Ovis aries: one gene and its partners. The protein of the gene in region 5 interacts with the protein of the main gene of each other region in a pairwise test. Links are inferred from orthologs where the notes say so. Each region holds a gene or a part of one and is shown on either strand. Other genes may lie near its edges.

The links.
Region 1: the proteins of CEP70 (region 5) and KAT7 interact in a two-hybrid assay, tested with the Homo sapiens proteins (2 studies listed by BioGRID and IntAct). The two-hybrid records come from large-scale screens. The link is inferred for Ovis aries from reciprocal best matches to the Homo sapiens genes CEP70 and KAT7.
Region 2: the proteins of CEP70 (region 5) and TRIM29 interact in binary tests that used the Homo sapiens proteins (3 or more experiments, as listed by UniProt). The two-hybrid records come from large-scale screens. The link is inferred for Ovis aries from reciprocal best matches to the Homo sapiens genes CEP70 and TRIM29.
Region 3: the proteins of CEP70 (region 5) and LENG1 interact in binary tests that used the Homo sapiens proteins (3 or more experiments, as listed by UniProt). The two-hybrid records come from large-scale screens. The link is inferred for Ovis aries from reciprocal best matches to the Homo sapiens genes CEP70 and LENG1.
Region 4: the proteins of CEP70 (region 5) and EMD interact in binary tests that used the Homo sapiens proteins (3 or more experiments, as listed by UniProt). The two-hybrid records come from large-scale screens. The link is inferred for Ovis aries from reciprocal best matches to the Homo sapiens genes CEP70 and EMD.
Region 6: the proteins of CEP70 (region 5) and C9H8orf33 interact in binary tests that used the Homo sapiens proteins (3 or more experiments, as listed by UniProt). The link is inferred for Ovis aries from reciprocal best matches to the Homo sapiens genes CEP70 and C8orf33.
Region 7: the proteins of CEP70 (region 5) and TEAD4 interact in a two-hybrid assay, tested with the Homo sapiens proteins (2 studies listed by BioGRID). The two-hybrid records come from large-scale screens. The link is inferred for Ovis aries from reciprocal best matches to the Homo sapiens genes CEP70 and TEAD4.

The regions. Positions count from the first base shown.
Region 1 is NC_056064.1:36,570,451-36,573,950, reverse strand, and holds part of KAT7 (histone acetyltransferase KAT7), read left to right. Parts: intron 1-962; coding exon 963-1,139; intron 1,140-2,540; coding exon 2,541-2,780; intron 2,781-3,500. UniProt on the Homo sapiens protein: Catalytic subunit of histone acetyltransferase HBO1 complexes, which specifically mediate acetylation of histone H3 at 'Lys-14' (H3K14ac), thereby regulating various processes, such as gene transcription, protein ubiquitination, immune regulation, stem cell pluripotent and self-renewal maintenance and embryonic development.
Region 2 is NC_056068.1:30,425,500-30,429,475, reverse strand, and holds the start of TRIM29 (tripartite motif-containing protein 29), read left to right. Parts: upstream 1-1,176; 5' UTR 1,177-1,344; coding exon 1,345-2,148; intron 2,149-3,976.
Region 3 is NC_056067.1:63,980,614-63,984,887, forward strand, and holds the start of LENG1 (leukocyte receptor cluster member 1), read left to right. Parts: upstream 1-1,474; 5' UTR 1,475-1,500; coding exon 1,501-1,632; intron 1,633-2,990; coding exon 2,991-3,170; intron 3,171-3,787; coding exon 3,788-4,050; intron 4,051-4,274. Other genes in the region: TMC4 (transmembrane channel-like protein 4), read left to right, coding at 17-147, 245-400, 639-717, 814-882.
Region 4 is NC_056080.1:80,070,509-80,074,443, forward strand, and holds EMD (emerin), read right to left. Parts: upstream 2,801-3,935; 5' UTR 2,677-2,800; coding exon 2,595-2,676; intron 2,497-2,594; coding exon 2,389-2,496; intron 2,222-2,388; coding exon 2,144-2,221; intron 1,955-2,143; coding exon 1,821-1,954; intron 1,350-1,820; coding exon 1,303-1,349; intron 1,221-1,302; coding exon 884-1,220; 3' UTR 481-883; downstream 1-480. UniProt on the Homo sapiens protein: Stabilizes and promotes the formation of a nuclear actin cortical network. Stimulates actin polymerization in vitro by binding and stabilizing the pointed end of growing filaments. Inhibits beta-catenin activity by preventing its accumulation in the nucleus.
Region 5 is NC_056054.1:251,194,955-251,198,454, forward strand, and holds part of CEP70 (centrosomal protein of 70 kDa), read left to right. Parts: coding exon 1-147; intron 148-3,500.
Region 6 is NC_056062.1:13,261,976-13,266,066, reverse strand, and holds the start of C9H8orf33 (UPF0488 protein C8orf33 homolog), read right to left. Parts: upstream 2,801-4,091; 5' UTR 2,774-2,800; coding exon 2,768-2,773; intron 2,689-2,767; coding exon 2,643-2,688; intron 2,546-2,642; coding exon 2,403-2,545; intron 2,213-2,402; coding exon 2,128-2,212; intron 1,985-2,127; coding exon 1,838-1,984; intron 1,356-1,837; coding exon 1,216-1,355; 3' UTR 1-1,215.
Region 7 is NC_056056.1:212,673,494-212,677,768, reverse strand, and holds the start of TEAD4 (transcriptional enhancer factor TEF-3), read left to right. Parts: upstream 1-1,475; 5' UTR 1,476-1,822; coding exon 1,823-2,093; exon of another isoform or gene 2,094-2,284; intron 2,285-2,330; exon of another isoform or gene 2,331-2,662; intron 2,663-4,275. UniProt on the Homo sapiens protein: Transcription factor which plays a key role in the Hippo signaling pathway, a pathway involved in organ size control and tumor suppression by restricting proliferation and promoting apoptosis.

The DNA of each region.
Region 1 (3,500 bases), on a different chromosome or scaffold from region 5:
TGAGACTTTCAGTTTTCTTTGAAGAATCTGTAAGATTTACATATTAGGATCTTTTTTTGTTTAAAATAGACTTTAACTTCTGAATTGCCTTTATTCCTGTAAGTATCTTTAGATTGGAGATGTAAAAGAACTGTTGGCTGCTTCAGAATAGATTTTTGCATCCAAAACTTTTTAAAGTTGTAGCCCTGCCTTGCCCTTTATGAATCTAGTATTATTTTGTTTTAGAGTGTCAGACAGGGTAATCAGGAAGAAAAAAGGTCCTTAAAGAAAGGAAATATTGGTTTTTCATGTTTTTACATAGAATCTTTGTTATTTCAAATATTGGCCACTTTTTTTTTAAGAAAGTAAATATGATGCCATCAAACCAACAGTCCATGTTGGCAGGCTAGAAGTTCAGTAGTCCATAGTCTTGGCTGTAAGGCCTCTGATTTGGCCTGGTGAATCACAGCCTCAATAGCCTACCATTCATTCCCCATTACTGACAGTCATTCCTCCTCAGAACTACTAAAGATGTTATATCTTTAGTAGTAGAGTATCTCTTTTCTGGTGGGTTAAAGAAAGAAAGAGCATGTAGCTAATATTTATAAAGCACTACATTTAGATATCTAAGGATCTTATTAAGTCCCTTATGTGAGTTATTTCACTTATTTCTCACAGCGAATGTGTGAGGAATGTGTTACTAGTATTTTCCCTTTTTTAAAAATAGATCAGGAAATAGGCTTGGAGAGATTAACTTGCCCAGTATGCCCAACTAGTTAGTATGATGAAGTGGAATTGAATTACATTCAATCTTGATTCCAGTGCCTAAGCCATTAGTTCTGTGCTGTACTGTACCTCTCTGCCATCTCTATGTTGCTTATATTTAGGAGAACCTACATGCTAATAAGTCACACTAATGGAATATAAAACAGATTTCTTTCTTTTTTCTTTAATTGTTTTATTATTTTTAAAATCGGGATCAGATTCCAGTCCTGTTCGAAATTTGCAGTCTTTTGGCACTGAGGAGCCTGCTTACTCTACCAGGAGAGTGACCCGTAGTCAGCAGCAGCCTACTCCAGTGACTCCGAAAAAATACCCACTTCGGCAGACTCGTTCATCTGGCTCAGAAACTGAACAAGCGGTTGACTTCTCAGATAGAGGTGAGTGGGTGTGGGTGATTTGGAGTCATTACAGAGAGGATCTAATCAGTTTCATCTTAAAAGAGGCTTGGAGCCGCTGCAGATAGATGCCCAGTACAGAATTCAGCTGGGTGATTGCAGTTTGTCTGATTCCTTTCTTAAACCTCTTGCTGAGGACAGTTTGATACTCTGCTGTTCTTGAGGTCCAGAGTAGCTGGATTATTATTTGATCTGGCTTGCAATAGGCAAAAGAAACTGACGACCTCTTACTCACAGATGAAGAAGGCTTAAAGCAGATTTTCTTACAGTCGTGCTTATGGGTCCATTTATGTCTGAAGTTCTGAGGAGGAATGACTGTCAGTAATGGGGAATGAATGGTAGGCTATTGAGGCTGTGATTCACCAGGCCAAATCAGAGGCCTTACAGCCAAGACTATGGACTACTGAACTTCTAGCCTGCCAACATGGACTGTTGGTTTGATGGCATCATATTTACTTTCTTAAAAAAAAAGTGGCCAATATTTGAAAAAACAAAGATTCTATGTAAAAACATGAGTTACTAGTTTCTTTTGAAAAATGGAAAGCTCTGGGAACATTAGGTGGCCATTCACCACATAACTGACTAGAACTGAATAGTAGTTATCCCTTTGAGAGAGACAGTTGGCTCTTGATTTGGCCTTGCTCAGCACTAGTAGGCATTTGGTTTGCAACACCTGATTCAGAGTCAAGTCCTTTCACACTCACTGCTACTGCTGAGTCACTTCAGTCATGTCTGACTCTGTGCGACCCCATAGACGGCAGCCCACCGGGCTCCCCCATCTCTGAGATTCTCCAGGCAAGAATACTGGAGTGGGTTGCCATTTCCTTCTCCAGTGCATGAAAGTGAAAAGTCAAAGTGAAGTCGCTCAGTCGTGTCTGACTCTTAGTGACCCCATGGACTGCAGCCCACCAGGCTCCTCCGTCCATGGGATTTTCCAGGCAAGAGTACTGGAGGGGGGTGCCATCGCCTTCTCCTTCACACTCACACCAGGTGTGTTCAGTTTCATCCAGAAAGAATCATTTTCATTTATATTCAATCCTATGTATCTCCCAGCAAGAGAGTAGGATGATAATGTTTTTTAAAAGTTTATTTCCATCCAGGTTTGATTATTCATGATTTGGGGCTTAGGAGAAGCACAAATGAGAGAAATGTATCATGTAAACCTCAAATGGAATTTTAGTCAGAATTTAAAGTTGCAGAAGAGGAATGCTGTTATTAGTTTTTCTTCATTTTCCATTTAGTTTTATGGCAGATAAATGGCAAAAGTTCCTGATTAAATCACAGAAAGAGGATCTTGGGAAGCCTGTAAACTCTTCTGAATGTAATAACCCTCTTAAGTAAAATACACTCTGTTCATGAGTTTTACCAATTGTTTTACTTTAGAAACTAAAAATACAGCTGATCATGATGAGTCTCCACCTCGAACGCCAACTGGAAATGCCCCTTCTTCTGAATCTGACATAGACATCTCCAGCCCCAACGTGTCTCATGATGAGAGCATTGCCAAGGACATGTCCCTGAAGGACTCGGGCAGTGATCTCTCTCATCGCCCTAAGCGCCGCCGCTTCCACGAAAGCTACAATTTCAACATGAAGTGTCCTACACCAGGCTGTAACTCCCTAGGTAAGTGTGCCCCCACCTCATGACACTGTGGATTGTGTGGTTTTCTTTCTCTCTGGAATTAGGATCACTCAGAAATGTTTAGTGCTCCATTGCAACTTAGCTTCTTAGGCTCTTCAATGACCACTGCTTAGGATAACACTGAATTGTTCACTTGGATAAAAGCATTCCTGCTTCCTGGCTTATTGTCCATAATAACAGATTTAGTTACAAGGAAATTAACTATGATGCACCATTCAGTTTATTGAGAACTCTTCCCAGTGAAAAGTTCTTTCATTTTTCCAACAAAAACAAAACAGAATGTCAGTTATCTCCAAATACCTCATTGTATGGTGCATAGTTCAAGTGTACCGAGGACTAGTAGAGTGTAAGGTGAATAAATTATGGTTATATGGCCATAGCTATTAAGGAAACAGTTTTTTTGGTCAAGAGGTACTGAAGGTGAGGAGTATGGATGAGACCTTGACCTTTTGTGACTTTTAGGCCTTGTGGCTTTGTATGCTTAGGAAGTATAAACTAGATAAATATTTCTTCTCAGATAGATGAGTTATATCATTGTTTCCTTAAGGGTTATTTTTTCTCCTTACTGAGGGAGTCTAGTAATGTTTTAAAAATCTTCCATGTGTTCTTTAAGTGAGCTTAGGTGCAGATGTTGGTCTAAACTGTTGTCTAGAGTTGGAAGGTGCTGATTGGAAGACAATGGGCCTCTCTTTCTGTCTATCA
Region 2 (3,976 bases), on a different chromosome or scaffold from region 5:
TCTCAGCCACTGGTCCACCAAAGAAGTCCTGAGCAAGACTTTTTGAGAAAGTGTTTCCTGCCCCCAGGAGCCCCCACGAACTCTTAGACCACTCACCAGTGAGTTCAAACGAGTCGGGGCTCCTGTGGAGCCTGAGAACGGAGACACAAGGTGAGAGGGAATCCCCCTGATGAAGCAGCACTCTCCGCCCCCACACCTCCTCTTAAAACTCTGGCTGCTTGGGGAGCTAAGCTTGTCTCTGCTCTCGTTCCCAGGAGCTGTTGCTGCAGAGGATTAGCTGTTCGGCCTGGTGAGCCAAAGGGGCGGGGGCTCCCAGAGTTTGACCTGGATTCGAGGGGAAGGAAACCCACTCCCCTACACACAGCCTGGAACCTGCCACCCCAGCCACTCCCACCTCTGCTCTGTCCAGTCCAGCCCGGCCGGGGAGAGGCACAGCCCTTCCCTTGGTGGGGGCCCTGAGGACGCTGCCGCCTGGCCTGGCACTGCTTGCGTTTCTGTCCCTCACTGCTGTCTCCCTGTCCCTTGGATCCAAGCAGGTTCTAACTTGCTCTGATAGAAATAACATAAAGCCGTAAGCATCTTGTTAGGGCTGCTGGGTGGGACGTGACTTCCTGAATCTGTCTTCCGTTGAGATAGTCAGGTGGCTGTTGGTTCTCAAAGGCCTTCGGTTGAAATTTTAGCTCCAAATCAAGTGGAACCCACCATTCCTTTTAAGACAGGAAGTCAAACACAATATTGTAAAACAATTATCCTCTAATTTAAAAAAGTACTAAACTTTTTGATGGAAATTAAAAAAAAAAAAAAAGATAAGAAGCAACTCCAGTGTCTCAGGGCGGCAGGGGGATATTCCTCTGAAACCCAGGCCATCACGTTTCAAGATTATTTGGCTTGTGTGACCCAGTTAAATAGCCCTGAGTCCTGTGGGCCTCTGTGGACACCTCACCTTCTGTCCCACGGCTGGCTTGGCTCAGCGAAGCCTGCCCACCTGCGAGGACAGAGGCTCCCGCTTTCCTGATGAGAAGAAAGTGTATCAGAAGGAAGCAGCAACTGGTTGCTGAGCTGTGGAAAATAATTAAACTGGGGAAGAATAAAAACACTTCTTTAAAAAACCAGGTTAGGTATGAATGTGCAGGGCGTGGCCCCTCTGTATAATTAGCTGCTCTGCTGGCTCTGGGAGCCGCCTGCCTCTCCTGCCCGCCCGTTGTGTCAGGCCCTCCTCTTGGCTCCCGGTAGGTGTGTCTCGGGCTCCGTGGCTGCCTGTCTCACTCTTGCAGAGACGCCGCTGCCCGAGAGGTCACCCACCTGAACCCCCAGCGCGTTCAAAGACCAGCCAGGTGAGCCGCGATGGAAGCTGCAGACGCCTCCAGGAGCAACGGGGCCAGCCCTGAAGTCAGGGATGTCCGCAGCCCCCTGAGCCCCAGTGGCAGCCTGGAGAATGGGGTCAAAGCTGAAGACAAAGAGGCTAAGACTGCCAATGGGCACGGCGGGGAGGTGGCCGAGGGCAAGGGCGCAGGCGGCGCCCTGAAGCCGGGCGAAGGCAGGAGCTCCCTGTTCTCCGGCAGCGAGTGGCGGCGGCCCATTATCCAGTTTGTCGAGTCGGTGGATGACAAGGGCTCCAGCTACTTCAGCATGGACTCTGGGGAAGGCAGGAGGTCGCCCTACGCCGGGCTCCAGCTGGGGGCTGCCAAGAAGCCGCCTGTCTCCTTTGCCGAGAAGGGGGAGCCGCGCAGGTCTATGTTCTCGGAGCCTCGGAAGCCCTCGGTGTCCATCCTGGAGCCCGGAGATGTCCGGCGGAACAGCTACCCCCGGGGCGACTCCAGCACCCTCCTGCGCTCCAAGTCGGGCTCCGAGGAGGTCCTGTGCGACTCGTGCATCGGCAACAAGCAGAAGGCCGTCAAGTCCTGCCTGGTGTGCCAGGCCTCCTTCTGCGAGCTGCACCTCAAGCCCCACCTGGAGGGCGCCGCCTTCCGCGACCACCAGCTGCTCGAGCCCATCCGGGACTTCGAGGCCCGCAAGTGCCCCCTGCACGGCAAGACTATGGAGCTCTTCTGCCAGACCGACCAGACCTGTATCTGCTACCTCTGCATGTTCCAGGAGCACAAGAACCACAGCACCGTGACCGTGGAAGAGGCCAAGGCCGAGAAGGAGGTAAGAGCTGGCCGCCCTCGCAGTGCCCTCCCACCGCACCTGCTCCACGGCCGCTCCCAGGGTCTGGGGCTTACCTCTCTGCTGTTCCTGGTTCTTTCAGAAAACAGTCCTTTCCCCTCCTACCCCCAGACTGGGAGTCAGAGATGGTTCCCCTATCCTCTAAGGCCTCAGGAGTCAAGTCATCTCCTAAATGAGCAAAGAGGGGCTCAGCAAAGATGGGGGGCTTGGCCAAGGTCATAGGACAAGTTCAAGTCAGGCCAGGAGATCAGCATTCCTTCCTGGGCTCTCTGCCTGGCTGGGTGCTTCTTCCTTCCTTTCTACTTCGGTGCTAAGTCACTCAGTCGTGTCCAACTCTTTGTGACTCCATGGACTGTAGCCCACCAGGCTCCTCTATCCATGGAATTATCCAGGCAAGAATACTGGAGTGGGTTGCCATTTCCTTCTCCAGGGGATCTTCCCCACGCAAGAGTCAAACCCAGTCTTCTGCCTTGCAGGCAGAATCTTTACTATCAGAGCCACTGGGAAAGCCACCTCTTTCTACTTAATGGAGAGAGAATTCTTCCTAGTTGAGGAGGACTGGCTCGTGGGGATAAGTCATGGGTAAGGAGGAGGGAATTTGGGGACCACGTCAAGGCCCTTTCTCCCCTGACCTCGGAGTTGGTCTCTGTAGGCAGTGGCTCCTTCTTGTTCTGTCTGATCCCCTAGCCAGTCTTGACACTCCCAGCAGCCTCCTTTATCCTTCCCTCAGCTGGACGCTCAGTGCTTTGTGTGTGTGGCCGTTGCCTGTAGGTGGACACTCGTGGCGGTTGGAGTCGGGGGGAGGGGTGTACATGTGTGTGCGTGTGTGTGTTTTCTGTGCACGTGGGTGCTTATGTCTGTGTATGGATGCTTGCATGTGACTGTCTATGTGGCATGTGAGTGTGTTCGCATGTGTTCTGTGTGCGTGATTCTGCCTGTGCTTCTGCGGGGAGGAGCAGAGGCGTGTGGAGGCTTGTGAATGTGGTACGCCTTACTCCTGGAGAGGATGTGCTGGGATAAGGGCTCGTCTGTGGCTGTACAGATACTGGGACTCCTCCCTCTACAACAACACAGCCCCCTGATGTGGTGCGTCCTCCAGCTGGGGTCAGCCATGCTCATTGTCAAGGCAGGGGACTCTGCTTTCTGCACCCCACAGAATGGGGCAGCACAGGCCCCCCTCTGTGCCCAGCCCTCCTGACCTGAAGTCTGTGGGTCACTCTTTCCTATCCATACTCCTGGGCAGGAGAGACGAGTCAGAGATGACAAAAGGCTCAAAGAGCCTTTTCAGGAGCCTCATTTAGCCCAGGAAAGAAAGGTGGTCCTAGTCTCCCTAACTCCCTGACCCCAGCCTGGCTTCAGGCTTCAGACAGGGAGATGGAGCTGGAGCAGGGGCCATGGATCTCCTCCAGGGTCTCACTTAGGGAATCAAAACAGATTGCAGGTAATTATCCTCAACCACCACAACCAAGAAATTGCAGAGCCCCAGGCTGGGTTTTAGGAGACGCAGCTCCAGTTCTAGTTTTTCCTCGAACCAGCTCTAAGACAGTGGACAAGTCCCTTATGTTCTCTCAGCCTTGGTTTCTCTTCACATGAAACTAAGGGACTGGACTAGATTGGAAGTTTTCAAATGACCCCCTGGAGCCTGAAGATTCTTAGGAATATCTCTGAGACCTCAGGGATGAGGAGGGGGGCAAACTGACGCCCAGAAGGCAGGGCTGCAGGCTCCTATCGCTACTGCAAGCAGCTGTGCCATGCTGGCGCTCAGTCATGTCTGAATCTTTGCAACCCTCTGTAAGCAGACTGCCAGGCT
Region 3 (4,274 bases), on a different chromosome or scaffold from region 5:
CATCCCCTCCTGCCAGATCACCCTCTTCTCCACCTGCTCCCCGGCCTCCCGCACCTTTCGAGCCTCCACTGTGAATTTCTTTTTCCCCTTGGTCCTTCTCCTGGGTCTGGCCATCTCCGCGGTTCCTGTGCTTTATAGCATCTTCCTGTAAGTGTGGGAGGTACCGGCCTCTCCCACCCTCCACCCTCCTGTCCAGGGTTCTGACTTTGGGCCATCCTTGACCTCTGCCTATCTCTGATTCCAGGATCCCACCTTCCAAGCTGTGTGGTCCATTCCGGGGTCAGTCGTCCATCTGGGTGGCGATCCCCGAGTCTATCTGCAAACTGCCTCAGATGGCCCAGAATTTTCTCTTCTTCCTGGGTACCCAGGCTTTTGCTGTGCCCCTTCTGCTGATCTCCAGGTGAGGGCGCTAGACTCCTGGGTCTGATTCTGAATGTCTGACCTGGGGTCCCGCTGCCTGCTTCCGAGAGAGAAGGGGGTTGGGGCCCAAACTCTTGGGTCTTCGGGAAGGAGGGGGCTGGGATGCTTCGACTCCTTGAGTCTGAAGGAGGAGGTCCAGACCCCTGCTTTCTAAAAAGCCCTACGTGGAAGATATTCTGAGAACGTTTGCGGAGTGGCTTCCACTTTATCTCCGCTAGCATCCTGATGGCGTATACAGTGGCCCTGGCTAACTCATATGGACGCCTCATCTCTGAACTCAAACGCCAGATACAGACGGTGAGCCAGGCCTGGCCCCTGGGAAGGGGTCCTGGAGAGTATGAAAAAGAACACAGGGGAGAGATGTGTCTCACCTCCCCTCTACCTTTCCCTCAGGAGGCGCAGAATAAAGTCTTCCTGGCACAGCGTGCTGTGGCGCTGAGCTCGGCCGACAGAACTCTTTGACCTCTCCAGCCTGGCTTGGGGTGACGTCCCACTTCCAGCCCCAGACCTGCTCCCAGATCCTTTTTGAGCTTCGTCAACATCATTTGGAAAATGAGTGAACTGGGGAAGACCCCGTGCTTTTCCAGCCCTGGGATTCCCTGCTGAGGCCCCGACCCTCCAGTGAACCTCTTTCTAGTACTGTATCAATGAATCTAGTACTGTGTCAATAAACACAGCGGAGGCCGCTGAGTGCTTTTTAATCTCCGGTCCAGAAGCTGGGGCAAGCCTTCACAGGACATAAACCAATCAAATGTGTGGCTCTGAGAGCGTGGCGGACTCTTCCGCGAGAGAGACCGCGCCAGCCAATCAGCGGCTGCGTTCAGGAGCCTCGGGGCGGGGACACGTGATTGAATCAGAGTCTTGGGGAGCGGCGGTCGCTAGGCGACGCCACGCGCGATTCTCGGAGACGGGGGACGTGGGCCCCGCAGCCAGTCACCTCTCGCTACAGCCCTGGGGGGTCGTGTCAGGCAGCGCAGAGCCAATCCGTGGCCGAGGAAGGAGCAACGGGGCGGGGCCTGCCTCTCGCCAATTGGAAGTGCCAGGAGGTGGGCCTGTCGGTCCGCGGACGGCTGAGGCGCCATGAATATTTTACCCAAGAAGAGCTGGCACGTCCGGAACAAGGACAATGTCGCCCGCGTGCGGCGTGACGAGGCCCGAGCCCGTGAGGAGGAGAAAGAGCGTGAGCGGAGGGCGCTGCTCGCTCAGCAGGAGGTGAGCCCCCGGCCCGGGCGGACGCGGCGCCGCGGCTCAGCGCGCAGGCGCCGGGGAGCGGGGCGGCGCCGGGGAGCGGGGCGGCGCCGGGGAGCGGGGCGGCGCCGGGGAGCGGGGCGGCGCCGGGGAGCGGGGCGGCGCCGGGGAGCGGGGCGGCGCCGGGGAGCGGGCCACCCTGGCGGACCTGGGGCCCGGCTCCCGGGCGGGCTGGGCCTGCGGGCCGTGCCGACGTTCCCCTCGACCTCTCCTTGGTCCTCCTGGAGGGCCGGAGTAGGGGGTCGTGAGTAATCGGAGCCCTGGGCAGTTCACGGAAGCTCGGGCCGCTTGTTACTTTAGCTGTACAAACACCCTGTGCAGTGAGCTCTTGCTGTCCCCTGGCGGCTCAGACAGTAAAGAGTCTGCCTACAGTGCGGGAGACCCGGGTTCGACCCCAGGGTCGGGAAGATCCCCTGGAGAAGGAAATGGCGATCCGCTCCAGTATTCTTGCCTGGAGAATCCCCTGGATGAAGGAGCCTGGTGGGCTACATACCATGGGGTCTCAAGGAGTCGGAAACGACTGAGCGACTTCAGTTTCGCTTTCCCCTGTTCATCCCGTGCAAAGCGCTTGATTTGCAGTCTCTCGAGCCCTGTTCGTTCTTAGCGGGGCGGTTATCTCCCTTCGGCGGAGAAGTGAGATGGCTTCAGAGGAGCCACAGCGAAGCGACAGTGTCTCAAGCCAGTCCCGCTGCGCCAGGCGTGCCTTTTGCCTGCACCGCTGCGCACAAACGTTAGAGAGTCTCTCTAACTCCTCACCTGTTTGGTTTACACCTAGCTTCCAGTCCTTTGACTAATCCGATCGTCAGCACTGGCTGGGAGGTAGTCAGGGTTTTTAAAGCTCACCTTTATCGGACTTCCCTAGTGGCCCAGTGGCGTCCAATGCAGGGGCCCCAGATTCAGTCCTTGATCAGAGAACTAGATCGCACATGCTATAAAACTAGATCTGATGCAGCCAAAGCAATATTTTTTAAGTTCACGGTTATCAATAGAAATTGGAAATCAAATGGGCATAATGACTCAGCGCCCTTCCTGGAATTCAGATCACCTGTCCTAATAGATGTTTTGGCTGCCTTTATAGCTGTTTTCATTGTGTCAGAAATGAAACCCCCTCGTTTACTGTTTGGAAGATGGCTTACAAACCATGCCTTGCCTCACTGCTCCACCCTCTCCCCAGGAATAGTCAGGTGCCTCTTCTGGGTTCCCAGTGCCCCTGCTCCCTTCCTTCGAGCCCTTACCACTGCAGTGGTCAGCACTAGGCTCAAGAGTCCCTTGGGCTACAGCTAGGTTCTGAATGTTCTGCCTGTAACTTTTTTTCCCTCCAGGCCCGCACAGAATTCCTACGGAAGAAAGCCAGGCATCAGAACTCACTTCCTGCACTGGAAGCAGAAACGGGAGCCCCATGCAGTTCTGGCCCTGTGGATCTGTTTCGGGAGCTGCTGGAAGAAGGCAAGGGGGCGACGAGAGGCAATAAAGAGTACGAGGAAGAGAAGCGACAGGAGAAAGTAAGGTGGCCTTACCCTCTTCCTCGGGTCACGGGTGGAGCCAGGGGTGGGGGTGTACCTTGCCCTCAGGTGTGATTACGGGAATATTTAGGGAGATGGTGGGGATTAAACAAGCTAGAGAACTCAGAATAGTATTAGAACATAGCATGTTAAGAGGTGTTGATTATTGCCGGGTGCTAGGTAGACCCCCTCAGGTCTCTAACCTGATGTGCAAACCTTGAAGATGTTGGGAAGTGTTAAGCTTCTTAAAATGTAAATCAGACGCTGTCCCTCACTTGCCCTCGGGGTTTCCTATCAGACTGCCTCCCCGCCCCTCCCCCCTCAGTCACTGCTTTACCTGGCTGGCTTCACAGTTTCTTTTCTATCTCCTCAAAGATGCTGCCTTTGAACCCTAACATAAGCAGTCCCCTCCTTCCTATGCTGTTTGTTGCTGAAGCTGTCCTGGTGCCCCAGAGCAGGGGCACCCCGGGGACTCATCTCTGAAGTCCCAGCAGCTGGCAGAGTCGGCTCCTGACGGGCTCTGCTGGCTGAATGTCTGGTTCTGCCTCTGCGGGAACCCTGGCTGCCTGAGAGGGAACATGCTTCCTGTTCTCACTTTCACATCTTGTCTCCCTCAGGAGAGGCAAGAGAAAGCCCTGGGCATCCTAACATACCTGGGACAGAGTGCAGCGGAAGCCCAGACTCAGCCCCCATGGTACCAGCTGCCCCCTAGGCCGGGCGGCCCCGCCTCTGGTCCTGGGCCCGACGAGAGGATCAAGAGCCGCCTGGACCCGCTGCGGGAGATGCAGAAGCACTTGGGGAAGAAGAGAAAGCACAGTGGAGACAGTGGTGGTCACAGCACAAAGGAAAAGAAGGCGCCTGAGAAACAGCGACCCAAAGAGTAAGGAGCCTCTTTGGCCAAGTGGGCACCACGGGCGCTCTGGCTGAGGCAGGGGCTCTGGGGTCTGCAAGGTCAGGCCCATTTTCGTAACACCGTTGAACGTTTTCAGCCTTGTTCCGGGGTCTGCAGAGACTACATGGTATTTATTACAAGGCCACTGCCCTGGTGGCTGGTGGGCCATCTGCTTGCTCTTGTTCACGTTGTATACATTAGATTCTGGACAG
Region 4 (3,935 bases), on a different chromosome or scaffold from region 5:
AAAACCTTGTGGTAATACCCAGGTGAGGAACTGGTTTACTAAAAGGAGATGAAACATTCCAGAGGACTGAGAGCCTTCCCCTGTCATTAGACAACCAGCCTTCCAGCAGCCCATCAAGCAGATGCCTCATTTCCTTCCCATCACTCTGCCCTTGGACACCACAGTTGGTGTCTGCTGGTCCCAGTTGAAACACCCAGAACTGACACGGTGCAAGCAGCCTCACCTGCGTTTCCCAGTGGGCTCTCTGTGTGACTATTTTTTATAAGCACTTACAAGAGCTTCTGGTAACATGTCAGGGAGCGGGCACCAAAAGCAAAACATAAATGAGTTTATGGGTTGCCTATGATCCCTATCTCAGGCTCAAAGGACGAAAGGATGAACTGACAAAGTTGGATGGCAATTCTGGAGACCCAAGGCCTGGAAGCCTTTAGCAGGGGGGCAGCCCAACCCCTCCCCATGTTAAAGAAAAGAACCCACACATTAAAAATAAATGGTCTTTTATTGTGTCCACGAAAACAAACTCAGGGTGGCCTTTGGTTAATCCCCCCATGAGGTGACGACAAATAGGAGGCATGCGATGACCAAAACCATGTTCTCCTCTCCAGGAGAAGGGTCTTGCCCTCCTAGGCCCGAAGGGTGACAGGCAAGCAGGGCCAGGAGGATCCAGAGGCAGGCCCACCCAGGTCCACCATGCCGCAGAGGGCCCAGGCCTGCTGCCTCCCTGGCAGGACAGGGCAGGGGTCAGCAAACATTGCCCATGTCCTGGTAACCCCAAGCTAGAACACACAGAAAAGCCCCAACCCCCCTCCCCCAACAAACACTGATAAGGCAGTCAGCCAGGGCTTCCAAGAGGAGCCGGCCTCCAAGGTACGAGGTCAGACCCTTAGGGCTCTGCCCAGAAAGGGTTGCCATCCTCGGCCTGCATGGAGTAGTAAACAAAGAGCAGGAAGGCAGCAAAGACCAGGAACAGCAGCACCTGGCCCCAGAGCGGGACCTGGCGATCCTGGCTCAGGCCGGCAGCCCCAGGGGCCTGCTTTTCAGGCCGGATGGCTCTGCGGGTGAGCCACGAAGGGGCCGAAGATGAAGATGAGGACACACTCGAGGTGGAGGAGGATGTGGGATAATAGGACAGGCCCAGGGAGCTTCTGGAGATGTTGGAAATAGGGCGGTAGTGTGCAATGTTCTGGTAGGCACTGTCCCGGCCATACAGGAGGCGTTCCCTGAGGCAAAGAGTGCAGTAGGTAGACCAGGAGGGCTTGAGTCCTGAATCAGCCCCAGCCCCTGGCTCGCCTTAATACTCACCGATCCTTGCCTTCCTCTTCCAAAGAGAAAAGATTGTCATCACGGACCTACAGAAGTGAATCAGAATGAGAATACCTATTGACAGGGTCGGTGTAGGTATGACAGGTCATACCCTCAGTCCAAACTGCCCTTCCCAGCCTGTTCTGAACACTGATTAAAGGCCTGGGCCCTGCCACCCTCCAGACCCCCTTCTTGGTCCTCAGCCTTATGTCTGCAGGGCCGTGCCACTTGTCCCGGCTGCCTGCATCCTACTTTCTGCCCCAGAATTCTCAAAAAGAGCTCAAACCTAGATCCCAGACCAGAGCCAGGGCACGTCCTGGGCACACTAGTCAAAACAGTTCTGACAGCCCCTTCCCCCACCCCAAAGGTCTTGACCAGGCAGGTGTCTGCAGGCCCCACCTCTCCCTGGAGGTTTCTGAGCCACCATTTGTGCCCAGTGGTTCCCTTGACTCATCCAAACCCCATGAGGACCCCCTCAGGTTGTACCCAAGTACAGGGTGCCCGACAACTCAGCTCACCTGGCGGTGAAAGGGGTCAGCATCTGAGAGTGAAGCTGAGGGCTGGCGGAAGCCCTTGGATGTGCCCATAGACTCAGGCTCCCCGTAAGTCCTGGTGGTCAAGTAACTCTCCTCATAGTAGTCATCATTATAGCCTTAGGAAGGGGGGGGCAGCGGTAGCAGAAGGGGCAACGGTGTCCCCACCTGGCCCGATGGCCCTAATCTGAATCCCATTGGGGGGGGGGGTGCTGCAGGGCTACTGCAGGACGCATGGGGTTGAGGTCTCAGGTTCTGGCTGACACTGGAAGGAAGGTGTCAGAGTGCCCACCCCACCCCTGCCTTACCCTTGCTCTGGTAAAGTAAGGCGTCCTCTTTCTTGGGCAGATCATACATATCCGAGTCCACGGACGCCGAATCTAAGTCTGAATGGGGGAGGGGCTAGGACCATTGGCCCACAGGGGTCCCCTCCCGTTTCCCCCGCGCCCCTTCCAGCCAGTGCCCTGGCCACACCCCCGCGACCCCTTCCTCAGCGTCCCCCAAACCGTGTCCCCAAGGGCGGCCAGGCGGGGCCCTGGGACGGGAGCCTCACCCGAGAACCGATAGGAGAAAGAGGATGCGGACGAGCTCGGGGGCGAGAGCCTCCGCCTCTGGGTCTCATACTCGAAGATTTTCTTTTCGTAGAGCTTGCGAGTGGAACCTGATCAGACGCGGGGCACAGGGCGGTCAGGGAGCGGGCCGAGAGGGGGCCGCGGGGCTAAGCGCGGGGAGCGGGCCCGCCCTCCGTCCACCGCGTACCGACGACGGGCCCGTGTGGGATGTTGTACTGGCGCAGCACGGCGGCCAGCTCGGAGTCCGAGAGGACTGCGTAGTCGTCCATGGCGGGCAGCGGGCGGCGGAGGCCTGGGGGAGGCCTGGGCCTTGCAACACCGGCCGAGAGACGATGGCCTCGGAGCGCGGCAGGGGAAACAGGAGTGCCTCGGGAGCGGCTACGCGCGCGTCACGCCCGCGTCACAGTCTCGGTCTCCGCGGGCAGCGCGCGCTGTGCGGAGCGGGGCCGGGCCTCGCAGAGAGCTGCCAGCGCAGATTGGTGGAGCCTCGCGAATGGGCGGGGAGGGGCGGGGCTCCCGAGCCCAGAGACGTCACACGCTGGCGCATTTAGGGCTGGACCCCAGCGAGGGGGCGGGGCCTGGGCGCGACGGGAACTAGCTTAGACCCGCCCCGGCTTGGGAGCGGGGCGGGGCCCGCGAGCCGCGACGTCACCCGCTCGGCTATTTGGGTCAGAAGGGTGGAGGGGCGGGGCCTGTGGCCATGCAACCGGCAGAAACTGGGCAGGATGCGGGAGCTGGGCGGGGCTGCGCGCTGGGCGGGGCTCGCCCTCCCTGAGTCACGTGGAGTCCGCTCGGTCTCAACTGCCCCTCTGCTCCAGCAATTGCGGGTCCCTGGCCGCGCCCCAGGCGGGCGCGTCGCCGGCGGCTGCGAGAAGGGGCCTGATCCGAAGGGGCAAGCCCTTGGAGAGCACGGGTCCAGACTAGGCGCTGCTGCACGCGCAGTGCGCGCGCGCGCCACACCAAGGAAGCCTGTAGCCACCTGACCATAAACCGCCCCCCAGAGCCCCAGACCCCCTGCCCCAGCACGCCTTCCCGCTCTGCAGGATCCTGGCCTGCGCCCGCCGGTTCCCACCGCCTCCCTCCCTCCCCTTGCACCCCAGAGGAAATGGGGCACTGGGCCAGGAGGCCACCGGCCCTCCAGGAGCCAGCAGCCTTGGAAGGGGCCCGGGCATGCCAATGGGCACTGGCATGGGGCGCCCTGTGATGCCGAGATGGCGGGTGTCTGCCTCACCCACCGGCAGTGCACCAGAGGCGCGAGGGGCTTCCCCACCGTGGCTGGGATGGCCCCTGAGCCCAGCGTGACCCAGGAGGCTGCCAGAGGGACCTGCCCCAGGCTTCCGATAATGCACTCTGAGCACCTGGGTCTCAGTGGGCTTCAGGGTCGTGGGAGTGCAGAGGGAGCCTCCCAGACAGGGGGGCCAGGGGACTGAGGGGGGCAAACCATGGAAGGCAGCCAGGGCCTGTCACAGGGAGTTGGTGAGAGCCTTGGTCAGGAAGAGCTGTCCCATGAAAATTAGGAAGAAGATGA
Region 5 (3,500 bases):
GATCAGGAACAACGAGCTAATGACTTGGAACAAATTATGGAGAGTGTGAAGTCCAAAATTGGTGAAATGGAGGATGAATCTGTAAATAGGGTTTGCCAGCAACAGAATAAAATAAAAGAACTTCAAAAGGAGCATAAAGCTTTACAGGTACTGAGTTAAACATTTTCTTACATGATAGTCTTAAAACACCTTGTCAGTGTTACAGGTGACTTCCATGTTGCTTAACTCAGTGATCCTTATCTTCCTTTACCTATTATTGTCATTGTCTTGAAATTCTTTCTTTGCTGTTTCCATAATATCTTCTCTTCTGGTTTTCCTCTAACCCCACTGGTTATTTTTTGATCCCTTTGTTGATTCTTCTCATTTTCCATGACTCATCCCTTCAGTTCAGTCGCTCAGTCGTCTCCGACTTTTTGTGACCCCATAAATCGCAGCATGCCAGGCCTCCCTGTCCATCACCAACTCCTGGAGTTCACTCAGACTCTCATCCATCGAGTCAATGATGCCATCTAGCCATCTTATCCTGTCGTCCCCTTCTCCTCCTACCCCCAATCCCTCCCAGCATCAGGATCTTTTCTAATGAGTCAATTCTTTGCATGAGGTGGCCAAAGTATTGGAGTTTCAGCTTCAGCATCAGTCTTTCCAATGAATACCCAGGACTGATCTCCTTTAGGTTGGACTGGTTGGATCTCCTTGCAGTCCAAGGGACTCTCAAGAGTCTTCTCCAACACCACAGTTCAAAAGCATCAATTCTTTGGCACTCAGGCTTTTTTCACAGTCCAACTCTCACATCCATACATGAGCACTGGAAAAACCATAACCTTGACTAGACGGACCTTTGTTGGCAAAGTAATGTCTCTGCTTTTTCATATGCTATCTAGGTTGGTCATAACTTTCCTTCCAAGGAGCAAGCGTCTTTTAATTTCATGGCTGCAGTCACCATCTGCAGTGATTTTGGAGCCCCCCAAAATAAAGTCTGACACTGTTTCCACTGTTTCCCCATCTATTTCCCATGAGGTGATGGGACCAGATGCCATGATCTTCGTTTTCTGAACGTTAAGCTTTAAACCAACTTTTTCACTCTCCTCTTTCACTTTCATCAAGAGGCTCTTCAGTTCCTCTTCACTTTCTGCCATAAGGGTGTTATCATCTGCATATCTGAGGTTATTAATATTTCTCCCTGCAATCTTGATTTCCAGCTTGTGCTTCTTCCAGCCCAGCATTTCTCATGATGTACTCTGCATAGAAGTTAAATAAGCAGGGTGACAATATACAGCCTTGACATACTCCTTTTCCTAGTTGGAACCAGTCTGTTGTTCCATGTCCAGTTCTAACTGTTGCTTCCTGACCTGCATATAGGTTTCTCAAGAGGCAGGTCAGGTGGTCTGGTATTCCCATCTCTCAGAATTTTCCACAGTTTATTGTGATCCACACAGTCAAAGGCTTTGGCATAGTCAATAAAGCAGAAATGATGTTTTTTCTGGAACTCTCTTGCTTTTTCCATGATCCAGTGGATGTTGGCAATTTGATCTCTGGTTCCTTTGCCTTTTCTAAAACTAGCTTGAACATGAGGAAGTTCACCGTTCACGTATTACTGAAGCCTGGCTTGGAGAATTTTGAGCATTACTTAACTAGCATGTGAGATGAGTGCAAGCTTGTGCAGTAGTTTGAGCATTGTTTGGCATTGCCTTTCTTTGGGATTGGAATGAAAACTGACCTTTTCCAGTCCTGTGGCCACTGCTGAGTTTTCCAAATTTGTTGGCATATTGAGTGCAGCACTTTCACAGCATCATCTTTCAGGATTTGATATAGCTGAATTGGAATTACATCACCTCCACTAGCTTTGTTCATAGTGATGCTTTCTAAGGCCCACTTGACTTCACATTCCAGGATGTCTGGCTGTAGGTGAGTGATCACACCGTCATGGTTATCTGGGTTGTACTCATCCCTTGCTGCTGCTGCTGAGTCGCTCAGTCGTGTCTGACTCTGTGCGACCCCATAGATGGCAGACCAACAGGCTCCCCCTCCCTGGGATTCTCCAGGCAAGAAGGATTGGGTTGCCATCCTTCTCCAATGCATGAAAGTGAAAAGTGAAAGTGAAGTCGCTCAGTCGTGTCTGACTCTTAGCCGCCCCATGGACTGCAGCCTATCAGACTCCTCCGTCCGTGGGATTTTCCAGGCAAGAGTACTGGAGTGGGCTGCCATTGCCTTCTCCGACCTTTCTTTTTCCTATAAATTCTAACTTCTTTGGTGATGCTCAGTCTAAGTCATAGTACTTTTAAATCTGTGGCACAGGCTTCTTCCCTTAATTGCATACTCACATCCTGCATCCTACTTGATATCTCTATTGGATGGCTAATTAGGCATGTAGAACTTTTTAACATGTCCAAAACCATACCTGGATTTCTTCCCCAAACTTTTGTCTTTTAGTCTCCACTCTGGTCCAAGTTACTTTCATTTCTTTCTTGTGTCTTTCTTGGTTTCCCTACTCCAAGCCTTGCCTTTTTCAATGTGCTCTCAACATTGTAGCACCCTCTAACTTCACTTTTTCTTTTTTTTAAGGGAAAAATCCAAAACTCTTTACCATGATCTTGCATGATTGTCCCTGTGTTGCACCTCTTGCATATTCTATTCCAGTCACACTGGCATTCTTGATTTTCTTTGAACATTTTCCTTGAACATTCTCACCTCAGGGACTTTGTATATTTTGTTCTTTTTCCCGCTACCATGCGTGGTTTTTTAGCTGCGTGGTTTGTTTCCTCTCTGCTTACTCAAGTGTCACATCACCATCTCTCCGGGATTCCTTTTTTGACTGCTTCACTTACAGTTGGCAGTCCTATCCCCCAACATATCATCTGGCCTTCCCTGCTTTGTTTTATCCATAATTCTTACCACCATCTAACATGCTGATATACTATACACTTTGTTTGTATATCTCTGTGTTAGAATGCAAGCTCCATGAGGGCTGATATTTTTGTCTGTTTTGTCTAGGGCTGAGAAAATGTCTGCTTTATTATTAGTTGTAGATGCTCAATAGATATTTGAATTATTGATTATAAATTTTTTAGTTTTTATTGAAATAGCAATGTTATAACATTGAATATTTAATTCCTAATTTTAAAAACCTCTTTTAAAACTTGGGTGTTTATTGTAGTTGAAAGAAAGAAATCTTTTGTAGGAAAAATCAATAGTTGTGTAAGACATTACAGATTAGAAACAGTATATCATTATAAATGTTTTCTGTTGGCACAGCATTATGTGTACCTGTTGCATACAAGGTGTTTAGCTGCCTAAAGGGACAGTACTCCTTAGGCAGGGTCTGGCTGTCCCCTCAGTTTATGCTAGCAGCATTGGAAGGATGTGATAAGTTAAATTTCAGGGATCAGAGAGAAACAGCGCGAGATACTAAGAATTCCTGGTATGAAGCTGCAGGCAGTTGGTGTTCTGCCCTCATTTAGCCTGCCAGCTTGGGGCCAGCAGTGTTGGACCTGTTGGTGTTC
Region 6 (4,091 bases), on a different chromosome or scaffold from region 5:
CACACACAGACACACTCACTCACTCTTTGGAACTGGATCCAGGAACTCCTTTTGCAGAGATGACAGATTTTGGGCCTAATCAACTAGGTGGGCAGTAGTGGAATTCACTGGAAAGCAGCAGATAGATTTAGGGACTAATCAGATGTGAACATGTCAAGTGTGAAATATCTGTGAGACACCAAAGCAGAGATGCTGAGTAGGCAGATGGGCTCTGGGTCTCTGTCTAGTCTGCAAGTTTGGGAGACACTACCAAAGATGGCATCACAGTCACAAGATAATTAAGCCACCGTGAAAACCCGACTTAATGCAGAAGTCCTGGGACTATCACCTGGAGCAGCTGACATCAGAGCTTGCCCAGAGATTCAATGCTGGTGTTTGGCTAGGATTCTTAGGGCAAGAAGCTACCTGCTCCTCAGAACAAAGCCTGGGCTGCTGGGGGATACACTGGCTCCTTGAGGATGACACCTGCTCAGGAATGAAGGCGATACAAAGGACCAAGCCCTGGGGTGAGAGCCTGGACCCAGCAGCGCCTGACACCACCTCGTCTACATTTCCCGTAACAGCACAGTTAGCACACGCTTTTGCTTATCCACATTTATAAGAAACAGTTTTATTACAGCAATGGGACTCAATGGTATGGAGCGCCATACCACTTGAGAGGACATCCCTCCATAAGTGAGCACCAGTGTACAACTATACAGCTTCCCCACTAACCCTTATTAACAATACCTACTTAGTCTGCTCCTGAGACTGTTGAGAGTCTTATAACAGGGGTCCCTAACCCCTGGGCCAGTACTGGTCTATGGCCTGTTAGGAACCAGGCCACACAGCAGGAGATGAAGACAGCGAACAAGGAAAGAGTCATCTGTATTTATATCCACTCCCCATTGCTTGCATTACAACCTGAGTTTCATCTCCCACCCTCTCTGGGGAAAAACTGTTTTTCATGAAATCTGTCCCTGGTGTCAAAAAGGCTGGGGACAGCTGTTTTACAACACAGTGTGAACACTCACTTCAGTCTACTGTAGAACCATCTAAAGGAACTCCCTATTCTGGCAGGAGGGACATCTCAGCTGAAAACCTAGAAATGGGGTCCTGGGCTTGTCAGCACCCAACATGCAGGTCTCCCATCTGCCCCCCACAGCATTCCTGGAAAAGTGCTGCACTCCAGAGAAACCCTGCCCCACTGCAGAGGTGGCCACTCTAGGGAAGAGGCTAAAAGAAATTAAACCTAAACTCTTCATCACGAGTATCCGAGGTGCCCTTGGACCTTCCTTCTGGTCGAGGTCTGCAGACCCTTCGGCTCTTTTTTCTGGCAGCCTCACCTACAGGCTGCACCTGGGCTGAGTGGGCAGCTGTAAGCGAAGAGAGGGACAGTATCAGAATTTAATAATAATAGCAGTGGCACCCCACTCCAGTGTTCTTGCCTGGAGAATCGCAGGGATGAGGGAGCCTCGTAGGCTGCCGTCTCTGGGGTCACATAGAGTCAGACACGACTGAAGTGACTTAGCAGCAGTAGCAGCAGCAAACATTAACTGCCCATACAACTCTAAACTCATTGTAAAAATTAACTTACTGGCTTCTCAAAATTATAAGGTAAGTACTATCATCTCACACCCTTAAGAATCAGAGATTCACTAACGCTGCTCTCCTTGCCTCCCTAGTCCAAGCCGGCGTTCTGTGACCCGCGCCTCAGGCTTTCTCCCCGCGGCTTTCCTGACTCCCCTCCTACTGTGGGAGTCCCGCTGCTAGAGGCTTCCCCCTTTCACTGCCCAGGCTTTTCCTTCTGCCCCCTTGAACTAGGCAGTTCTTCATCAACCAGTTCTCAGCTTCTCACCAGTCCTGAGAGCCTGCAGGGCCTCGCGCCACTCGGCTTCTATCTGAGCCCTGTAGTCCCCAAACAAAGAGCGCATCAGCTGCCTCTTCCGGGGCAGGGGGGTTCTCTGGCTGCGCAAGGTTCGGATTGCTCCAAGAGCTTGTTCTTCTGCAAATGAAAACAAAGGACTAGTAACCTTTATCCTCACTTCCAACTGTCCTACCGCAAAGGCAACAATTCCATCCCTTGGCAGCACCTGAGGCCATAGGACTGTCACCGTTTCCCTCCCCCATCTACAGATGGGCCCTCACTCTGCTTAGGGGTGGGTCTCTGCATCTTCAGTCCCAGCTCCAGCTTTTCCACGCACCAGGCCAGTTCCCGAGCCAGCTGCTCAGCCTATGATGGATTGTGGTTAGTGACTGTAAGCGGGCGTCAGGGCGCTGGGGCCTCCAGCCTCATCCCATAGGAACCCCAAACGCCGCATCTCACCCACTTCCCGCTGTAAATCCAGGACTACACCCACAGGCGGGCTCCCGCCCAGTACGTGCCCGGGACTTCACCCTTCCCGACTGAGGCCCGCCCTTGCCTGGGCCTCTGCGCTTAGGGGGGCTTCCTCGGAGGCCTGTTTTTCTGGGGTCTTCCCGCTTCCATTGGCAACAGACGACCCATCCTGGATTTTCTTCTTTTGCTTCTTGGTCCTCGAGGCAGAGTCACGGCACGTAGGGCGCCCTAAGCAGACGGACTGGCTGAGGCCTTACAGTGAAAGGACTCGGGGCTTTAGGAAGCAGCCTGGGGAACCAGGGGCTGCAGGGTGCACGGGCAGTACCTGGGCCTGGGGCTGCCGCTGTCTCCCGAGCAGGATGTCCTGGAGCCTGGGGAAAGGGGGAAAGGACGAAGGTCATGAGGAGCCGCCGACCGCCCAAAGGCGTTCCCCACCTGTACACCGCTTACCGCCATGCGCTCCCGCTGGGACCAAGGAGGGCTGGGGTCCCACGCCGAATACGCTCCGAGGGAAACAAGTCTGCGTCGCAGAGTTCCGCGGGGCGGGGGCTGTGCGCGCTGTGGGTGGGGCGCGGGCGCTTGGAGTACCGCCTGGACGAGACCCACTCAGGACCTACTAGGTTGCAGGTGGTGGTGGCGGGTTAGTCGCTCAGTCGTGTCCGACTCTTGCGACCCCATGGACTGTAGCTCGCCAGCTCCTCTGTCCCTGGGATTCTTAAGGCAAGATACTGGAGAGGTTGCAGGCACTGCTCTGGATGAAGGGACGCTACTCAAGGGAACGTACCTGCTACTCAAGGGAACCACCTGCTAGTGGGGCGGGAACAGTGGGAAAACAGGGGGCTTCCCTGGAGGCCCAGCAGTTAAGAACTTGCCTGCCAACACAGGGGACACGGGTTGGATCCCTGGTCTGGGAAGATCCCACGTGCCTGGGCAGCAGAGCCCACAGTAGGCAACTGCTGAAGGCGCGGAGCCTAGACCCTGAACCCTGCAACAGAAGAAGCCTCCGCAGCGAGAGGCCTGTGGCTGCAACTAGAGAATAGCCCTTGCTGGCCACAGGTAGAGAAAGCCCATGTGCAGCAACAAACACCCGTCGCAGCCACAAAAAACATAAACAGTAAAATAAAGAAGGCCCGTAAACAGACATGAATAGCTGTCACTGAGAGCGACGCTGTAACAGTGGCCCCAGCAGGGCGGGGAGTGGTCAGCAAAGTCCTCCGAGGAGCTGCAGCCCTGGCGGGGCTGCTCTGGCAGCAGGAAGCAGGGCGGGGGCGAGCCACACGGCGAGGTGGGCGGGTCGTGGGGCCCCGGACCGAAACGCAGGCGGCTTCTGTTTCAAGAGAAGTGGAAGAGGGTGAGAGAGGGGTTCGGGGGTTAAGGGAACCCCCTCATCCCTCGGAGGAGTGTCGCAGTGTCGCGGCCTTCCCCGGACGCTGCTGTGTGGTCGGCACCATCTCCCTGCGCTTCCAGGCCCCCGGCCCAGGGCCACCCTACTGCACAGCCGCTGTTGGCCCCGCAGCACAGGCGTCAGGGACTTCCCTGCGGGTCAGGCGGTAAAAGCGTCTGCCTACAATGACGGAGACCCGGGTTCGATCCCTGGGTCGGGAAGGTCCCCTGGAGAAGGAAATGGCAACCCACTCCAGTATTCTTGCCTGGAAGATCCCATGGACAGAGGAGCCTGGTGGGCTACAGTCCATGGGGTCACAAGAGTCACATGGGGTCACAAGACACGACTGAGCGACTTCACTTTCACTTTCTTTCACAGGCATCAGGAGGG
Region 7 (4,275 bases), on a different chromosome or scaffold from region 5:
AGCAACCCTGGGATTTCTTTGGAGGGAATGATGCTAAAGCTGAAACTCCAGTACTTTGGCCACCTCATGCGAAGAGTTGACTCATTGGAAAAGACTGTGATGCTGGGAGGGATTGGGGGCAGGAGGAGAAGGGGACGACAGAGGATGAGATGGCTGGATGGCATCACGGACTCGATGGACGTGAATCTGAGTGAACTCCGGGAGTTGGTGATGGACAGGGAGGCCTGGCGTGCTGCGATTCATGGGGTCGCAAACAGTTGGACACGACTGAGCGACTGAACTGAACTGAACTGAACTGAATGCCTGCCTGTTGTCCTGAGCTGTAGACATGTCTCATGTGGACAAGCTGTGACCAAGCCCTGATGTGTTGCATTAGTTAACAAACAGACCAGAATTTATATGCAAATGAGACCTGCTTCCTTCAAAATCTCCACCTCAAGAGACTCAATACTTTGTCAGCGATGCTGTGATGCTCAAAAGGCCACTGGGCGCTTCCCTGTGGCTCAGCGGTAGTTTGCCTATCAATGCAGGAGACAGGAGTTCCATCCCTGACCTGGGAAGATCCCACATGCTGCGGAGAAACTAAGCCTTTGTGCCACAACTACTAAGCCTGTGCTCTAGAGCCCGGACCCCACAACTACTGAGCCCTAGAGCTCGTGCTCTGCACCAAGGGAAGCCACTGCAATGAGAAGCCTGCACACTGCAACTAGAGAGCAGCCCCTGCTCGCAGTTAGTAGACAAAAGCATGCAGCGGACCCAGCACAGCCAAAATTGGAGAAATAAAATTATTAAAAACACACACCACTGGAACATCTCTCTTGGAAGTCACTTCAGCATTTGTAGCACTTTCTTTTCAGGATCTGTGGCAGTAGCTTTCTGCTTTTTCATTTTTAACTTAATATTTATTATACACTTATCTATCCCAGGCACCAAGCCGGAGCTGGCTGAAAGATAAGATAAATCGATCATTTAGTCTGTCTCTAAGGGAGTTTCTGTTTGGTAAGGGAGGTAAGATCTGGACACCCACTACAGCACAGGGTTAAGCAATAAGGCTCCAGGGAGGTTGGACCTGAGTTTTGGAAAAAGATAAAAGTCCTCTGGTTTCAACCTCCCAGCAAGAAGGGTGACTGAGGTCTGTGATTGCACCCTGTGTCAAGCTAGTATCTTTTGAAGACTTAAAAACAAAAACAAAACTCCAGAAAACAAACCCAATCGCTAAATCCATCCTGGCGTATTTAAGACGCAGACTCCCCACTTTCTGGCGATGCTCCACAATAGATCGAGTCTTCCCAGCTCAATGATAAGCTCTGAGAGGGCAGGTGCTGAGGTCTTCTCCTTCGCTGTTCCACAGTGTCCGGTGGGCGAGTGACAGACGCAGGATCAGGGTTAGACGCGTCTCCGGCCACGCCACACGCCCGTCATACTGGCATCCGGTCCCCTCGTGCGCGGCTCTCAGCGATGACCGCGATGCAGGCCGGAGCCGGGCGGAGGGGAGCGGCCGAAAGACTCTGCGGGGAGGGCACCTGTGGGCTCGCGGAGCTCCTGCGTCCTGGGCCCCGGAGCGGGGTCCCAGGTGGATGGGCCCCGTAGGGAAGAAGGGCGCAGCTGTCCGCGCGCTGGACGCCCGCCCTTTCGGGGCCGGCGCGGAGGGAGAGGCGAGCAGGAGGCCGGGCGCGAAGCCAGAGCCCGGCCCGCAGGGTCGGGAGGAAGGGTTCCGGCCTCGGCAGAGAGCGGGGGACTGGCCGGCAGGGGCGGGAACCCGGGCCGGGGAGGAGGAGGAGAGTCGGGGCTGAGATCAAAGGGGAAGCACGTGTGCCGGGCGATGGCCCCGGCCGGAGCCGGATGCCGAGGTCACAGCCGAGGGTCCCCGCGGCCGCCCCCGGCCCGCCCAGCCCGCGGCCCCTCCCCGCGTCCCAGTCTCCTCCCCGAGGGCCCGGGGCTGGGCCGCCACTCCCTCCAGCTCCCGCCCTCGACCGCGCGCATCTCATTCCAGCCCTCATTCCGCGCATTCCAGGCTTCCTCCTTTCAAACCCGAGGCCGGGGGCGGGGAGAACCCGCAGCTCCCGGCTCCGCCGCGCTGCCGCATCCCCCAGGTGAGTGGCCCGGACGCCGCGCCCCTCGGTCGCGCCGCGGGCGCTCTTTCCTTCCCGCCTGGGACCTGCGCGCCGGGCCCGCTGTCCCCCTCTCCCGTCTCCGTTCTCCCGCTTCCCTCCCTTCCGCCCTCCCGCGCGCGCTCTGTTCCCCCAGCTCCCTTCCTCTCCCGTTGACTCACCCCGCCAGGAATAGGGATCGCCCGTGCTTTCCCGTCAGTCCCCTTCTGGGAAAACTCCGCCCTCTGCTCCGCCCCGCTCCGCGCACCGGCCGCCGCGCGCTGGACACCGCGCACCGGACACCGCGCACCGAGTACCGCGCGCCGGGCGGGGCGAGCTGGGTTTGGGCCCGCGCGGAGTCGGCTCCGTCCCGCGATCCGCCTTCATCCCGGCTCAGCCGGTCGGCCCGGGGCCGGAGCCCGGGTCTCCGCTCGCCGACCCCGCGTTGTCTCTGCAGCGCCCTCGCCCGCCTCGCCGGACCTCAGCGGAGCCGCGGCTGGAAGAGCGGCGCCGCGGCGGACTCCGCGGGGCTGGCTCCGCGTACCCGCCCACCTCCCCGCACCCTGGGACCGGTAAGACGGCGGCGCGGGAGGAGCTCTCACCCGGGATCGGACTTGGGGGCGAGCCGGGCACGTGGAGTCGCGCGAACCGCGAGGCTGGGGTGGGCGCGAGGGCCAGAAGGAAGGGGAGCGCGCGGAGCCGAAAAGATCGGAGGCCGAGCCCAGGTCGCCGGCGGCCGAAAAGAGACCCAGCGCCCGCGCCTCTCTTCTGCTGGGCGCCTCTCGGGCTTGGAAAGGGTGTCCTGGCGATTTCAAGCCGAGGCGTTGCGAGAGCGGAGAGGACCTCCGCCAAAGGTCCCCATTTCCCAGGGCTTGAGAAGCGTGGTGCGCTCCGTGCTGGAGGCCAGTGAGTCTGAAGAGCAGAGCTCCACAGCCCGAAGCGAACGTTTCCCCGGAGGGCGAGCAGACCCGGGACTCGCGCCTCTGTGCGCTTGTGTGTCGAGGGGAGAGGGGGTTCGGGGCCAGACCTGGCAGGTCAGTGATGATTTCACGTGGCGTGTGACTGTGCCGCCTCCTTAGCTCCGGGTGTCTGAGGGTGATACCTGCTCACCGATGAGATCACCTACCTTTCAGGAGGCATGTTTGTGTTGAACGGGAGCGCCTTTCCACCCTAGAAAAGCGCTGTTTGTCTGTAAGCTGAGCGTCTTGGAGGACTAGCGAGATGCCACGTCTCTCAGTGTGTGTTTCCCCTGTGAGGATGTTCCTGGGCGGGACAGTCCTCCCTCCCTGCAGGAGCGGGGGCAGGACAGCGAGTCTCTGGTGGTGTCTGTGCCCAAGGAGCTGGCGGTGGTTGTGGGGCTGTGTGGTCCCCGGGCTTCATTCGCCCTGGACCCGCGAAGCTGCAGGGAAGCTGTGCACACCTGCCTCTCGCAGGCAGCTGTCTTTCTGGGGAGGTCGGTTTTGTTCTTGCCTGGAAGAGTTTAGGGAACACGTTGGTAGCAAGTTTAGGGAAGCTGAGATTCTTGCCTTTCCATGAAGGGGTGGGTTGTTGATAGTGAGACTTGGGCATGTTTGTGGGAGGGGTTGGACACCCTCCCCCCAGAAAGAGCTCATTTTGCATCTTGAGATTTGTGTAGGCAGTGCTTTTATTTTTTGATTAAAAAAAATACAATTTGTAAAAGGTACTTTCCATTTGCAGTTACAACAATACTGGCTATACTCCCCGTGTTGTACAATACATCCTTGAGTTTGTACCTGTCTGACACTCAATAGTTTGTACCTGCCCTTCCCCCACCCCTAGCTTGCTCCTTCCACCCCCAACTCCCCCACTGGAAACCAATCGTTGACTCTCTATATGTGTGAGTCCTATGTTATATTCACTAGTTTGTTGTATTTTTTAGGTTCCACATGTGAGTGATATCATATAGTATTTGTCTAGACAGTGCTTTTAAAGTTGGCTCCAAGGACAGGGGTAAATTGAACTACTGGTCCAGCTCTCCTTGGAGCCGCCTGGGGGTCAAATGGAAGGACCCTCATTCTTGTTGACTGACTGGACCACCATGTAGTGAGAATGTTTTCCTGCCCTCCTAGTGGGGAAGGCTGCCTCTGATTCACTGGGTTGACCTGTGGGGAGGCCCTTCTGGATAGCTGTTTCCTCATCTCTTCCTTTCTGCTATGCCTTCTGT